Saccharomyces cerevisiae S288C: one gene and its partners. Changing the gene in region 3 together with the main gene of any one other region gives a genetic interaction. Each region holds a gene or a part of one and is shown on either strand. Other genes may lie near its edges.

The links.
Region 1: mutations in FRM2 (region 3) and EAP1 together harm fitness less than expected from each alone (positive genetic interaction), as found in Saccharomyces cerevisiae (one large-scale study listed by BioGRID).
Region 2: mutations in FRM2 (region 3) and YPL257W together harm fitness less than expected from each alone (positive genetic interaction), as found in Saccharomyces cerevisiae (one large-scale study listed by BioGRID).
Region 4: mutations in FRM2 (region 3) and YOR012W together harm fitness more than expected from each alone (negative genetic interaction), as found in Saccharomyces cerevisiae (one large-scale study listed by BioGRID).

The regions. Positions count from the first base shown.
Region 1 is NC_001143.9:51,756-56,111, reverse strand, and holds EAP1 (Eap1p), read right to left. Parts: upstream 2,409-4,356; coding exon 510-2,408; downstream 1-509. Other genes in the region: phosphatidylinositol kinase-related protein kinase TOR2, read left to right, coding at 1-177; Ran GTPase-binding protein LOS1, read right to left, coding at 2,759-4,356. UniProt on the Saccharomyces cerevisiae protein: Can regulate translation through binding to eIF4E. Competes with eIF4G and p20 for binding to eIF4E in vivo and inhibits cap-dependent translation in vitro. Plays a role in cell growth and is implicated in the TOR signaling cascade.
Region 2 is NC_001148.4:61,490-64,379, reverse strand, and holds YPL257W (uncharacterized protein), read right to left. Parts: upstream 1,102-2,890; coding exon 520-1,101; downstream 1-519.
Region 3 is NC_001135.5:74,159-76,960, forward strand, and holds FRM2 (type II nitroreductase), read right to left. Parts: upstream 1,128-2,802; coding exon 546-1,127; downstream 1-545. Other genes in the region: amino acid transporter AGP1, read right to left, coding at 1,860-2,802. UniProt on the Saccharomyces cerevisiae protein: Type II nitroreductase, able to reduce 4-nitroquinoline N-oxide (4-NQO) into 4-aminoquinoline-N-oxide (4-AQO) via 4-hydroxyaminoquinoline (4-HAQO), using NADH as reductant. involved in the oxidative stress response.
Region 4 is NC_001147.6:354,827-357,468, reverse strand, and holds YOR012W (uncharacterized protein), read right to left. Parts: upstream 927-2,642; coding exon 513-926; downstream 1-512. Other genes in the region: YOR011W-A (uncharacterized protein), read right to left, coding at 1,611-1,817.

The DNA of each region.
Region 1 (4,356 bases), on a different chromosome or scaffold from region 3:
ATTCGAAATGCAAGGGCCATGTTGGTATTGAAGCGCATTACTGACAAATTAACGGGGAACGATATAAGAAGGTTTAATGACTTGGACGTTCCAGAACAAGTGGATAAACTAATCCAACAAGCCACATCAGTGGAAAACCTATGCCAACATTATATCGGTTGGTGTCCATTCTGGTAGTTTTAATGTATTGAAAATCACTTAGTTGTATATAGCCTGTAAAAGTGTTGTATAAAAATGCATCTCATTCATTAATGTTTAGTTCCGAGCGTGACGTTACTAACTGCGAAAAAAGTTCCTTCGACTAGTAAATATCAAAGGCGAAAACATAAGTATATGGGAGAATTATAACAAGTTAAGTGATGATGATAGGATAAGATAATATAGGATACATGTTATATACAAACTCTAGATAATAAAGATGAAAAATGAAAAGGAAAAGAACATGCTTTTAGATAGTATGTTCACTGTGTTTTTGTCGTTTCCTGTCAAGTACTCGCTCGTTACGCATCTCATTTTATATTCTTTTTAGAGTTTAATCCTGGTGGTAACTGGTTTGTAACATTTTTGCCATTGGCATTAATAATAGATGGAATTGGCATAGGGGAGTTACTACCAAAACCTTGCTGGAAATTAGGGGGGAAATTTCCTTGTAGCATCATATTTGGATAAGGTGGCTGTGGCTGTTGTCCTGTTACCGGTAACATACCATTTGGTGGGATTGGGAACCCCTGTGGTAATGGTGGCATTGGGCCGTTAGGAAAGTTAGGATGCATTGGAAAAAACCCTGGAGGTGGGGGTGGTGGCATGTATTGCTGTTGAGGCAGATCTGGCGTTGCTGTTTCCTCTTGTTTTCCCTTGCTATTTCTTGTTCCGTTTGGATTTTTATTTTGCCTTAATTGCCTGTCTTCCTTCTTATTTACATCTTTAGAATCTTTCTGGAATTGAACGAGACCTGGTGGCGGTGGCATCATGCGTTGTGGAAAATTTGGTGGTACACCCATCACAGGAAATTGTGGACCCTGATGAGCAATTAGTCCTGGGGGTGGAGGAGGAGGAGTACTAGTTTCACTTTTACCTTTATTCAATAGCCCATTGAAAAATGCGTTGTTATTAGGAGGATGCTGGGTAAATGCCATTGGTTGCATTTGTTGCGGTTGCTGCTGGAATTGCGGAAGAGTCTGCATCTTTCCATTATCTTTGTCTGAGGCTGATAACAACTGCGATTCTGCATTTGGAGTGCTCGATCTAGATTCTTTGAAAAACGACATCAGTCTTGAACCACTTTGATGAGGTGTACTGTTGCCATCGTTGTTTACTACAGACACGTTTGACGATGGCACTTGATTATTATTATCTAATGAAGGCAACGAAGTGGCAGATTTATTGAAAAATGATGAAAACCGAGATGATGAACTTTTACCCAAATCTGAATTAGTTTCTAATTCGTTAACTTGTTCTATACTGGTTTTGGATAGGCTTGGCTGTCCAACAGGAATACCAGGTGTTTGTTGTGAAGATTCTTCCTTCTTATCTTGCCTCTTTAAATTCAAAAAATCTGTTATTGAACTAGGGCCCCTTGGAATGACCGGTCTTAAATCGGTGGGTGTTTCATGAGAGGCGCTTTCCCTGGGAGCAATTGCGGTAGAGTTACTGATTCCTTTAGATTTTGAAAGTTTTTTCAATTCTAATTCTTTCATCTTTGCCTTCCAATCTTCAAAATCTGCAATTGAATGGCCGACGTCACCTCCTAATTGAAGATTCTTGTCCATCTCCAGCATTTCTTGGTCAATCTTTTTTTCTTCATCATCTTGTTGAGATCTTCGTTTGCCTCCCTGCATGTTTTTGGTTCTACTCATTCTTCTCTCATCGTTTTTCCCATTCTTGTAACCAGCCTTCCAACTGCCTCCACCATTGTTCCCATTAAAATGATGGTTATTAGCATGCTTTTGATCTGGAGGTCCCATGCGCAATCGCCAAAACTTTCTTTTGGGTAAACTCCTCACAAGTTCCGAAATAAGTGGGTCTTCTTCGTACGAAGCACTTGCCAAAGATGGTTTCAAATGATAAAGTTCATTCATGGAGTATGCATATGTCTTGTATTGCAGATCCATTGGTTTGTAGTTCGTTATAGGGTCCGTCAAACTGCTGAAATTTAGCATGGCCGTTTTCTTATTTTTTTTTTTATTGCTTTCTTTATTGTTACCGCTCGTAGCAACAGAAATGTTAGAGCTATCAGTTGAAGATTCTACGCTACCGATTGGCTTCTCTTCTCTGCCCTTTTTGGCTAATTTTTGGAATAAATTTGAGATGGCTTGTTGCGATTTGTGAGTAGCGGCTGCAGTATCGCTGTCAGACAATTCACCTGAAAACTGGCTGCTTGATATAATTGAAGGGTCGTTGAGTTCCATTGTATGGGTTAAAGTCCTACTATGCTAGTTCTTTGTGTAGCTTAGAGACTGAAACATTCATATACTCTAATATCTCACCTGATCCTTTTTGAACCTTCCAACGATTTCTTTGAAATTAAAAAAACTAAACGTTTGTCATTCTTTACGTAATACATAGAAGTAATGGTATGTCACGTATAAATAATAGATAAAGAAGCACTTTTAGTGCCATTACATGACTAGCTGCTAAACCAAAGTGAATGATAAGTCTAATTACATATTACCAATTTAAATATTAGTATAAATATAATTACAACTTTTACTCTCGTTTTGCATTTTTTTTTTATTTTCAGGTTTTCTGCGCCTGAAAGCTATTGACCTTGCTTTAAAACAGAAATGAAATTATCTACAAACCATTTTTCGAATTGCTTTTGACCCATTGTGGTTAACATATTAACCAACTGAATCGTCAATTCCTGTGGTAATTGGATTTGTGGAAGGTAGATCTGAGTTAAATATTTTACACATTCATTCTCATTTGTGGTGGGGTTGCTGCTGACGATAAATAGCTCCCTCAGTAATCTTGCCAAATCATATGCCATTGTTTTGAAATTCCCTTCTTTGATATTGAACTTGTATATTGGATTGAACGGAATTTCAAAGATTATTGGGACACATTTCATGATGAAGTATTCGTTGAGACCATCTATTTTAAGGTTGGGATCTTTATTGATGTCGTCATTATCCAAGCAGGTCCCATTCCCAAAACATTTGATAAAATTGCACAATACATTGAGTGACACTTTCATCATTGATGTTTCCTGGATCTCTTGCGGCGTATAGGTGACCAAATCGTTTAATATGACCGGCAGGATTGCTCTGTTTATATCTGACAATAGTATCGAAGTGACGGAATTATTAGTAAATGACTGTAAAAATGTGCAGTAAGCCTTTTTCAATAGTATTTTATCTCTATACGAATCGGTGACCACGATATTCTTATTTACGGAGGTGGCTGTGACTGCAGTGTCTATAGGTTTGTTACTGCTTGATTGTTGGTCGTGTTGTTCATCAATCTCTTCGATAATAGAATGGACTTTGTTGATAAGCGGAGTAAGTAACTGGTTAAACAGCTGATAACAGTCTGTGTCCGTGTGAAACATATGAATCAGTTGAGATAAGAACCCAAGAAAATCAATCATCTCCCATGATTTTAAATCTGTGGACGATAAGATCAATTCAATCAATTTATTGATAAATGGTAAAATTTTATTACTTAAAATTGGAATTAACCTGGCAAAGGTAAACCTAGATGCATCGCGGATATTTTCGAACTTATTGAAAAAAGAGAATGTTACTAATATAACCTCAGCTATATTAGAGAATTTATGGATTAAAGAGTCATTGATTAATTTTTTGTTGACAACCATATTGTTGACCTGATTCTCAGGGACGAGACCAATGTGCAAACCTCTCGCTAAAGTACCAATAGCCATAAGAATGTGATGACATTCCAGAATCACAACTGGCGAAGCTCCTTGGGTAATACAACCCTCTAATTGTGTAAATAGCGGAGTTAATATCTGGTCCAATATATCGTAATCGATGGGGGTGTTGGCAGTGGCAGCAGTGAGCTCCTGACTGCTATTATTCAATGTGATTATAAACCCAATACCCTCAAATATGTACAACTGATTATCAAAAATTGTATCATTGTCATCCGTCCCTTGGGCGTTGATAGATGTTACTTTTATGTGAAGTAGAGGACTTATCTTATTAGTTATTTCATTAACCAAATTTTTGTTGGCAAAGAGGATTTTTTTCAAATTGATTCTTGTCAACTTCAAGAATCTTGTAAATAAATACCATGACCTTAGTCTGACGTTTTCTCTTTTATTGAACATAGCAAATGAGCTCATGAAAATATTCAATATTAATAGATACTTTTCATCATCATCAGTAGCATTTG
Region 2 (2,890 bases), on a different chromosome or scaffold from region 3:
TCAAAGAAACTGGTGTTTTCAAAGAAACCCCATCTAGATGATATTAACTACCCATTCTCTATACACCGGGCATCAGTCAAGATAGTGACGATTTGCTGTATGTTAAGCTAAACTATGATTCTCCCTTGAGAAACCACTTGAAATGTTATCCGCAGCGGTTTATTTGAGAAGCATGGCCAGACAAATACAGAAGAAGGGTAGCAGTTAATCTAAACCTGATGCCCACAAAGCGTTTCAGTTCTCTAAACAACAGGAAACTGCGATTAATATTACTATTATTCATTTCTGCCTTTGTACTATGACCGATACACTCAACCGGCGAAAAGTGGAACTTGAGAATTGATGTCTTCATCTTATTATAGGTATTTTATGTCACGTACGGTTTTCAAAATTTGTCATGCGTATTCTTTTTTTACCACTGATTTATGCCATTATCTACTATGAGTAAAATTTTAAAAGGTACAGTGTGTATTCTGGTTGAATTTGCTGCGTACTTCTTACCTTTCGACTACCATTCCATTAAGCGGTGTCAAGATTATTTAAACCTTCGTCGCGAATCTCGATAGCGGCTTTCTGTGAAAGATATATTTCAAAAGTGAATGCAATTGCTACATTGACCAATGCAATGGCGATATCTAATATAATAAGTTGCAATAACATTTGAAAAACATTACCTTTTCGAAAAATCAACTGAACTAACCAAATTAAAACTGTCAAAACCGTATATGCAAGGAAAAATACCAACCATAACGCACATGTAAATTTCTTGGGGTGTCTTTTCTTAAAACTTAAAAGGTGATAGTTTATATTCGAGTACATTGGAGGTTGACCCATTTCTTGAGTTCTGTATGCTCTTTCCCCCCATATCAGAAACCATCCAATGGAAACAAACGCCGCATACATAAAAGTAACTATATCAGCTAAAATTGGCTTATCAGTAAATATTGAATGCTTATACAATATGTGCTCCGGAGTGAATGAGCTTTTTGTAATTGCAATAAAGAAAAGAACTCGGCAGAGCTTGTCATACTTCGATTCCGAACTTGAACCCCTAGCACTAGGGGATACATCGCTAATCCTTTCATTTGCATGAGCTGTCATACTACAACTTTTCAAAAGTATATGATACTACCAAGGGGAAAAAAAAAATAAATGGTGATCTGTATACTATACTTGATAGCAGTCTGCTTGTTGTTTAAGGAAGCGCCTTTATCTCCAATTTGTCTAGTGTTTCCAAATCAACGGTGAAAAAAATCTCGTATGAAGTCCAACACAGGCAGTGGAGTTTTCTCCAAAAGAAATTGTAAAAAACGTATACAGTATTCATTGTTGGTATATATGTTATGCGTTTTGTTGAAATGAAACTCTAAAATTGAGATGTGGGTGAATTTTTAGATAATTGTTGGGATTCCATTGTTGATAAAGGCTATAATATCATGTATACAGAGTATACTCGAAGCTCTCCTCGGCGGTATGGGAATCCTCAAAATAAAATCGAAATTTCTATATACCAATATTACGATTATTCCTCATTCCGTTTTATATGTTTGATTATCCTATTACATTATCAATCCTTGCACTTTAGCTTCCTCTAACTTCGATGGGCAGCTTCTCATAACTTATGTCATCATCTAACACCGTATATGATAATATATTGATTGTAGAGCATGTGGATTTTGATGTAATTGTTGGGATTCCATTGTGATTAAGGCTATAATATTAGGTATGTAGATATACTAGAAGTTCTCCTCGAGGATTTAGGAATCCATAAAAGGGAATCTGCAATTCTACACAATTCTATAAATATTATTATCATCATTTTATATGTTAATATTCATTGATCCTATTACATTATCAATCCTTGCGTTTCAGCTTCCACTAATTTAGATGACTATTTCTCATCATTTACGTCATCTTCTAACACCGTATATGATAATATACTAGTAACGTAAATACTAGTTAGTAGATGATAGTTGATTTTTATTCCAACATTGATAGTATAACTGAGAAATGGGTGAATGTTGAGATAATTGTTGGGATTCCATTGTTGATAAAGGCTATAATATTAGGTATACAGAATATACTAGAAGTTCTCCTCGAGGATATAGGAATCCTCAAAATGGAATCTATATTTCTACATACTAATATTACGATTATTCCTCATTCCGTTTTATATGTTTATATTCATTGATCCTATTACATTATCAATCCTTGCGTTTCAGCTTCCACTAATTTAGATGACTATTTCTCATCATTTGCGTCATCTTCTAACACCGTATATGATAATATACTAGTAATGTAAATACTAGTTAGTAGATGATAGTTGATTTCTATTCCAACATACCACCCATAATGTAATAGATCTAATGAATCCATTTGTTAGTTAATAGTTTAAATGTTTTTATCGGAAGAGGTTTTGTCATCACATCAGCAATGTTCTTCTTGGTCTCGATGTAGTATACGTATAAATTATTACCTGATACTTCATCTCTAAGTCTCATTGCCTTTGTGCCAAAAAATCTGTTTCTAAATTTCTCTTCATTTGTAGACTTAATTATACTGATCGTTGATCTACTATCAGTAAGTAAGCCTTTAATAATTGGTTTCTTGTTAAGTTCTTGTATCAGGTAACTTAGATTATTTAATAATGGGACAGATTCACTTATCGCGTGTATTTCTGCTTCCGTAGTTGAAGTACATGTTAATGAAGCCTTGGTGGACTTTCCTCCAATTACCTTTCCATTAAGTAAATATATGTTGCCAATTTGTGATTTATAATACGGTTGGTTGCCATACGAAGCATCACTTATTGCGACTAGTTTATTATCTGGCTCGGTAGGTTTGTTTTTGTGCCATATCAGTTGTTTATCTCTAGTGTCCCACATGAATT
Region 3 (2,802 bases):
TTCTTTACGTAATTTTCACGTAAAACGCCACAGTCCGATTTTTCTCGAATAATCATTAGTAAAAGCGGTATACTGGATTATTGTACGATAACAAGGTAGAGCTTTATTACTAAGCTAAGACGTTCTTACATCAATAGTGCTGTTCGTTATTGATGTTAGGAGAAGGAGCGGGTCTGGTGAATAGTGTAAGCAGTGTTTCTGAACTTTTTCTTCGTCTAAGTCCTTGTAATGTAAGGTAAGAATGCAAGCATCTTGTTTGTAACGCGATTGTACGTTGACGTTAGTAAGTCACAAACCCAAGCTTAACTTCTTCGTGAGGAAGGAAAGTGTTGTCTCCTACTTTTTTCAAATTTTCGAATTGTATTTATATTTATTTAGTACTTCTTGAGTTTACATATCCTTCGTAAAAATGCAACTTTTGTCGAAAAACACTTCCAAAAAAAAATAATAATGAATTTATGAAGCATACTAACGAGCGAGCACATCGCTGAGGTATCATTACTTCATGAGATAAATTAAGATCTCCTCATATGCGAATTTCCTGTTCAGTGATAAACGTTGATTACGTTATTGATAAAAGTCTTTTCTTCTGGCAAGGCAGTTGGAACACCAAAGACCAATTGAGATTGTACAGTCCACGCAATAGGAACATCTTGAGGCAAAGCAGATTTGACGTAGTCATTATAGTGTTGCAAATTAGCCCCCAATCCCAATAGTTCGAGGGCAGTCCAAGACTGAATTTGCACAGCACCGGTCGTATGAGCGGCGCATGTTGGGAAAGCGGCTGCCAAGGCTGGAAAATCTCTTTGCAGTTTTTCAGTTGGTCCTTCATCAGTGAAGAAAATGACTGAACCGTAAGCCTCATCTCTGCAAGACTCTGGTCTCTTCTTGGCTTCAGCAGTTGGCATTGCGCTCGCAACAGCATCCCATATCCTTTTGTGTGTATCACCAACGATAATGACAGCGCGATTCACTTGTGAGTTAAAAGCTGTTGGCGTATTCTTGAGAATAACGTGTACAGTTCTCTTTACATCATCCAAACCGACACCTTGTGGTAATTCGGGCTTCAAATTGTAGATGGTACGACGGTTTGTAATAGCGTTTAAGTAGTTTCCAGTTGGGGACATTTCTTTGGCTTGGAGGTCTGGTGTTCTTGATTTTGATGGTGTATATAGCTTTAAAAAACCAAAAATGATCAACCTTTATATCTCTCTTCGATCACAACATGGGTGGAGACAAACACAAAGTAGTGATGACCCACTCAGGTGTTAAAGTGTGTCATATCTGCAAATGACACTGTATTTTTTTTTCCTTTGCCATTTATTGTCGCAGTAAGGAAAAGCGCAGAGCAAAGCTGACAAATTGAAAAATTATTCGGAAGAGCATTGACAAATATTGATTAATAATCAAGTAACACTCGCAGACATTGTTATTTCAGAAGTAAAAATATCGCAGAACAAGTTGGTTAAACTGAATGCTTCAGTCATTCTAATGCTAATTACACCTTAACAAAATTAAAAATTCTTAACGTAGATTTTTAAAAAAGGCAAGAAGATCGTTCCTGATGCACGACGAAAACGGTTGCACCCCTACTAAGGCAAAATTGCATATGCGGATGAAATCAAACCTCTTCTGTTGCATTAAGAACAAAAGGAAATCATTTTTCTCTCACTTCATATTATTTCACTTATATTTTCCTCTCCACTTCCATCACGCAATCGTTAGTGCTTTTTATTTTTTTTCTTCGCTCATAAAGGACTAGAATTAAAATGAAAATCGTCTATCATTACACGTATGCTATTACTACAAAACAGAAGTACAAAAATGAATAAATATAAAAGAAGTAAATGCTTTTTTTTTTAACACCAGAAGGCAACGACCCTTTTCCAATAAGGTCCGTTCCTCAAACGTTCCCTATATTCTTCGTCTTCTTGCTTGATTAATTCTTCATCAAAGATTTGTCTATGAGAATCTAGGTCGATCTTGTCTGCCCTGATGAACAGTTTCCAATCCTTGTGCCAGACCTTGTAGCCGACATAAAGTGCAATCAAGATTGGCATAGCCAAGTAGTTTTCGAAAAAGGCTTGTGCATCCAGCTTACCTTCACCAATGGGGGCGATAGCGACCCAAAATTGGGCAATAAGAATTAAAATCATCATAATGCAAGCGTAGGCAGATCCCCAAACACCAGTTTGAGATTTGAAACCCAATTCTCCAAGAGATCTCCCTTGGACTTTCATGGCTCTTCTAAATCTAAGATGGGATAAACAAATGGCAGTCCATGTGAAAAGCTGAGACAAACCAGAAATGGCCAATAACCAAGTGAAAACTTGTTCTTCCTTGGGAGATGCAGCACAGAAGGCAATAACGGCAAACAATGCAGAAACACCCATGGCAATCAATGGTCTACCGGCTCTGTCGATGTAGGAGAAAACCTTAGGAGCGTAACCTTGCTCGGATAGAGTTAAAAATAAACGAGCACTGGAGTAGAAGGAGGAGTTAGCCATGGACAGCACGGAAAGTAGAATAACGGCGTTAATGAAGTGTGGGACGACACGGACACCGTGGGATGCAACAGCAATGACATATGGCGAGGCTTTAGTACCACCACCGGTAGAACCCAATAATTGATCGGAATTGTATGGCACCAAGAAACCCAGTAGAATAATGGTAGCCAAGAATAGGAATAAGATTCTGTAGATCATTTGTTTGGCCGCACCTGGAATGGCCTTTCTTGGATTAGATTGTTCTGCAGTGGTGATGGCAATAAACTCTGAACCACCAAAGGCAAAAGCAGCAGTC
Region 4 (2,642 bases), on a different chromosome or scaffold from region 3:
GGTTTATCCTTGAAATGAAGAGTTTTCCAATGAAGAAACGAGACGTATTGACATGCCTACCAATTGAAGTGGAAAACAAAGCGTAGTTTCACATACTCTTTGATAATCAATTGTCTGATACTTTTTTTTTTCCTTTCTCGCAGCCGGGATAGGGGGTTGTGACCCGGCAAAAAATGTTGGTCTAAGTTTTATTGTTGCTATATGCTCCATACATACAATAAATGTCTATAAAATTTTTAGAAGAAAATCAGGCGTGAAAGATGGTGTCTGCATCTTTGTGGTAGAGCATCAAGTAGGCCGTGAATCCCTTCCCCTGCGGATCGGGTTCTCCTTTGGAGTTCACTTCTCCAACCCCGAACTGAAACACCAAATAGGTTTTGAAACCGAAATATTCGTACACAGATCTTGCGTGCTCCGAAATAGCCTCGAGAGCAAGGGCGCAATTGGCCTTGTCTGCTTTGGTTTTATATTTTTCGAGTATTTTTCTGACTGAACCTCTAATTTCGGGATGGCTAGGATCTTTTCCGATGGCATAAAGGTAGTAATAGTCCATTCCCAGAGGCATGACTTCGTGCTTCCTCACAGTCAAGTCGTGAAAAAAAAATCTTATTGAAAGACTCGTCGTCAGATAGTGTAGCAGGCAAGTGGCACCCAGGGCGGCTCCATATTGCGACTGCATCGAAATCATTTGCCTCAGCAATTTCACCATCCAAGTCATGGTAGCACGTCGTGTAGTAATGTATCATTGCATTTATTCTTGCCCTTGAAACTTTTTCAGTGATTGGGATATGGAAGAACTTTTTCATCAAGTAGTCATTTGCGTATGACTTTTCGAATGCCTTAAACAAAGTTTTCGAAGCCTTCTCTACATCGCTTGTCAAGTTTACCGCCAAAGAGGATTCTTCATTGATCGATGATGCTACCATTATCAAAACTATTGATTTGTTTTCAACGTTCTGATTAGTATTTTTGTCACTGCCTTTTTCTATTGTTTCTTTTTTTGCATTTCTTATAGTAACATAAAAAACACAGGAAAAAAAACGTCGTTTATTATATCAGGAGTAAAGGATTTCTGCCCAAAATGTCAGGAAAATTACGATATAAAACGTACTATAAGATAACAAGCGGCTGAATAATTTCTGAGGTCAGAACCATAAGGGTACTGAAATACTATGTGCTAGATTTTTTATTTATTTTCTTTTTCTGATTGATTATCGTTTGGTTAAAATCAGTATGATATTATATATGACTTGCTTTATAATATATCAAACCGACATAAAAAATTATCCTACTCAAAAAAGATCATGGTTGTCCCCGCGTTTCACTTCTGTTATACCATGCAAATTTTTATATCAAATGAGTAATTCTTTCATTTCTTTCGGGACCCTTTACGAAGTAGTTGTTATATCTCCACTGGCAAGGCCACGAACTGACAAAAAAGGCATGATATAAATTGTGAGAAATTGTGAGTTAATTTAATAATTATGCGACGAGATGATAGAAAGGTAAAGACGACTTTTTGAGCCGGATCTGTTTACGTCAGTAAATTCTCGCGCCCCAAGACGTTATGAGGCATAAAATTTATTGCGTTCAGTTTTCTAAAGAGCTCACTATCGGTGATAGAAATCTTTCTTTTTTATTATCTTCTTGTCAGTAGTAATGTATAAGCACCAATATTGAAATGTCCAATTTTTTCGGCTCTTCCCAAGAACTTCAAGAGAGCAGTAGTATGGAAGAAAGTATTGTGAATGATACACAAAACGGTTTAAATACTCCAATATTTCAAAATGAAAGAAATTGAAAACCGATTTTGCCATTAATAATGATTGCTTATTATCCTTTAGTGAAGAAGTTTGTATTGAACTTCAAAGCTGATTGAAAAATCATTATATTTGAACACGTCGTGAGAAGACATGTGTCCAAGTGCATAGTTATTTAAGGCTTCTACGCTGCTTTGTCCTTTTATTACACATTATAATGAGTCTTCAAGATATTTGACTCAGTATGTATAAGAGAATGCTTCCATTGAGATAGTAAGATGATACGTATTGTTACAATACTTGATAATAAGATGCGTTAAAATATTAGTTAAAATGTTAGCTAAAGTTGTACAATTATTCAAGTCGGTGGAACAATAACACTCATTTTATATTTAATTTGTAGGCTGGTTAAATTTAATAACACTTCTTAGGGCTCTATTTTTATGAACAGGACATCATATTATGTAGGCAATAACTTCCGAACTTCGTAATTGATTTAATTGATAATACGACCTATCGTGAATATGCTAAAAGTTCTTTTCGAGGATATAGAGATTCTCGAAGAGAGAGAGATATTCTAAATAACAATATACATATATATATATATATATATATATATATATATTCCTTTCTTGCTTCTTTTTTGTACATTATGTAACTATATTTCTTTCTCATTCCAAATATTCAAATGTACAGGTATTTAATACCGCCTCAATTGATTTAGCGGTATTTTATTTTCTAACAGCTTAGTTATAATACTAAATATACAAAATATATTAGAAGCTCTTTCTCAAGGATATAGGAACCTGCCAAGGAAACCCATATTTCCACATAATGTTACTATTATTATTTCTTCTATTTTTTATGTTGTCATTCATTATC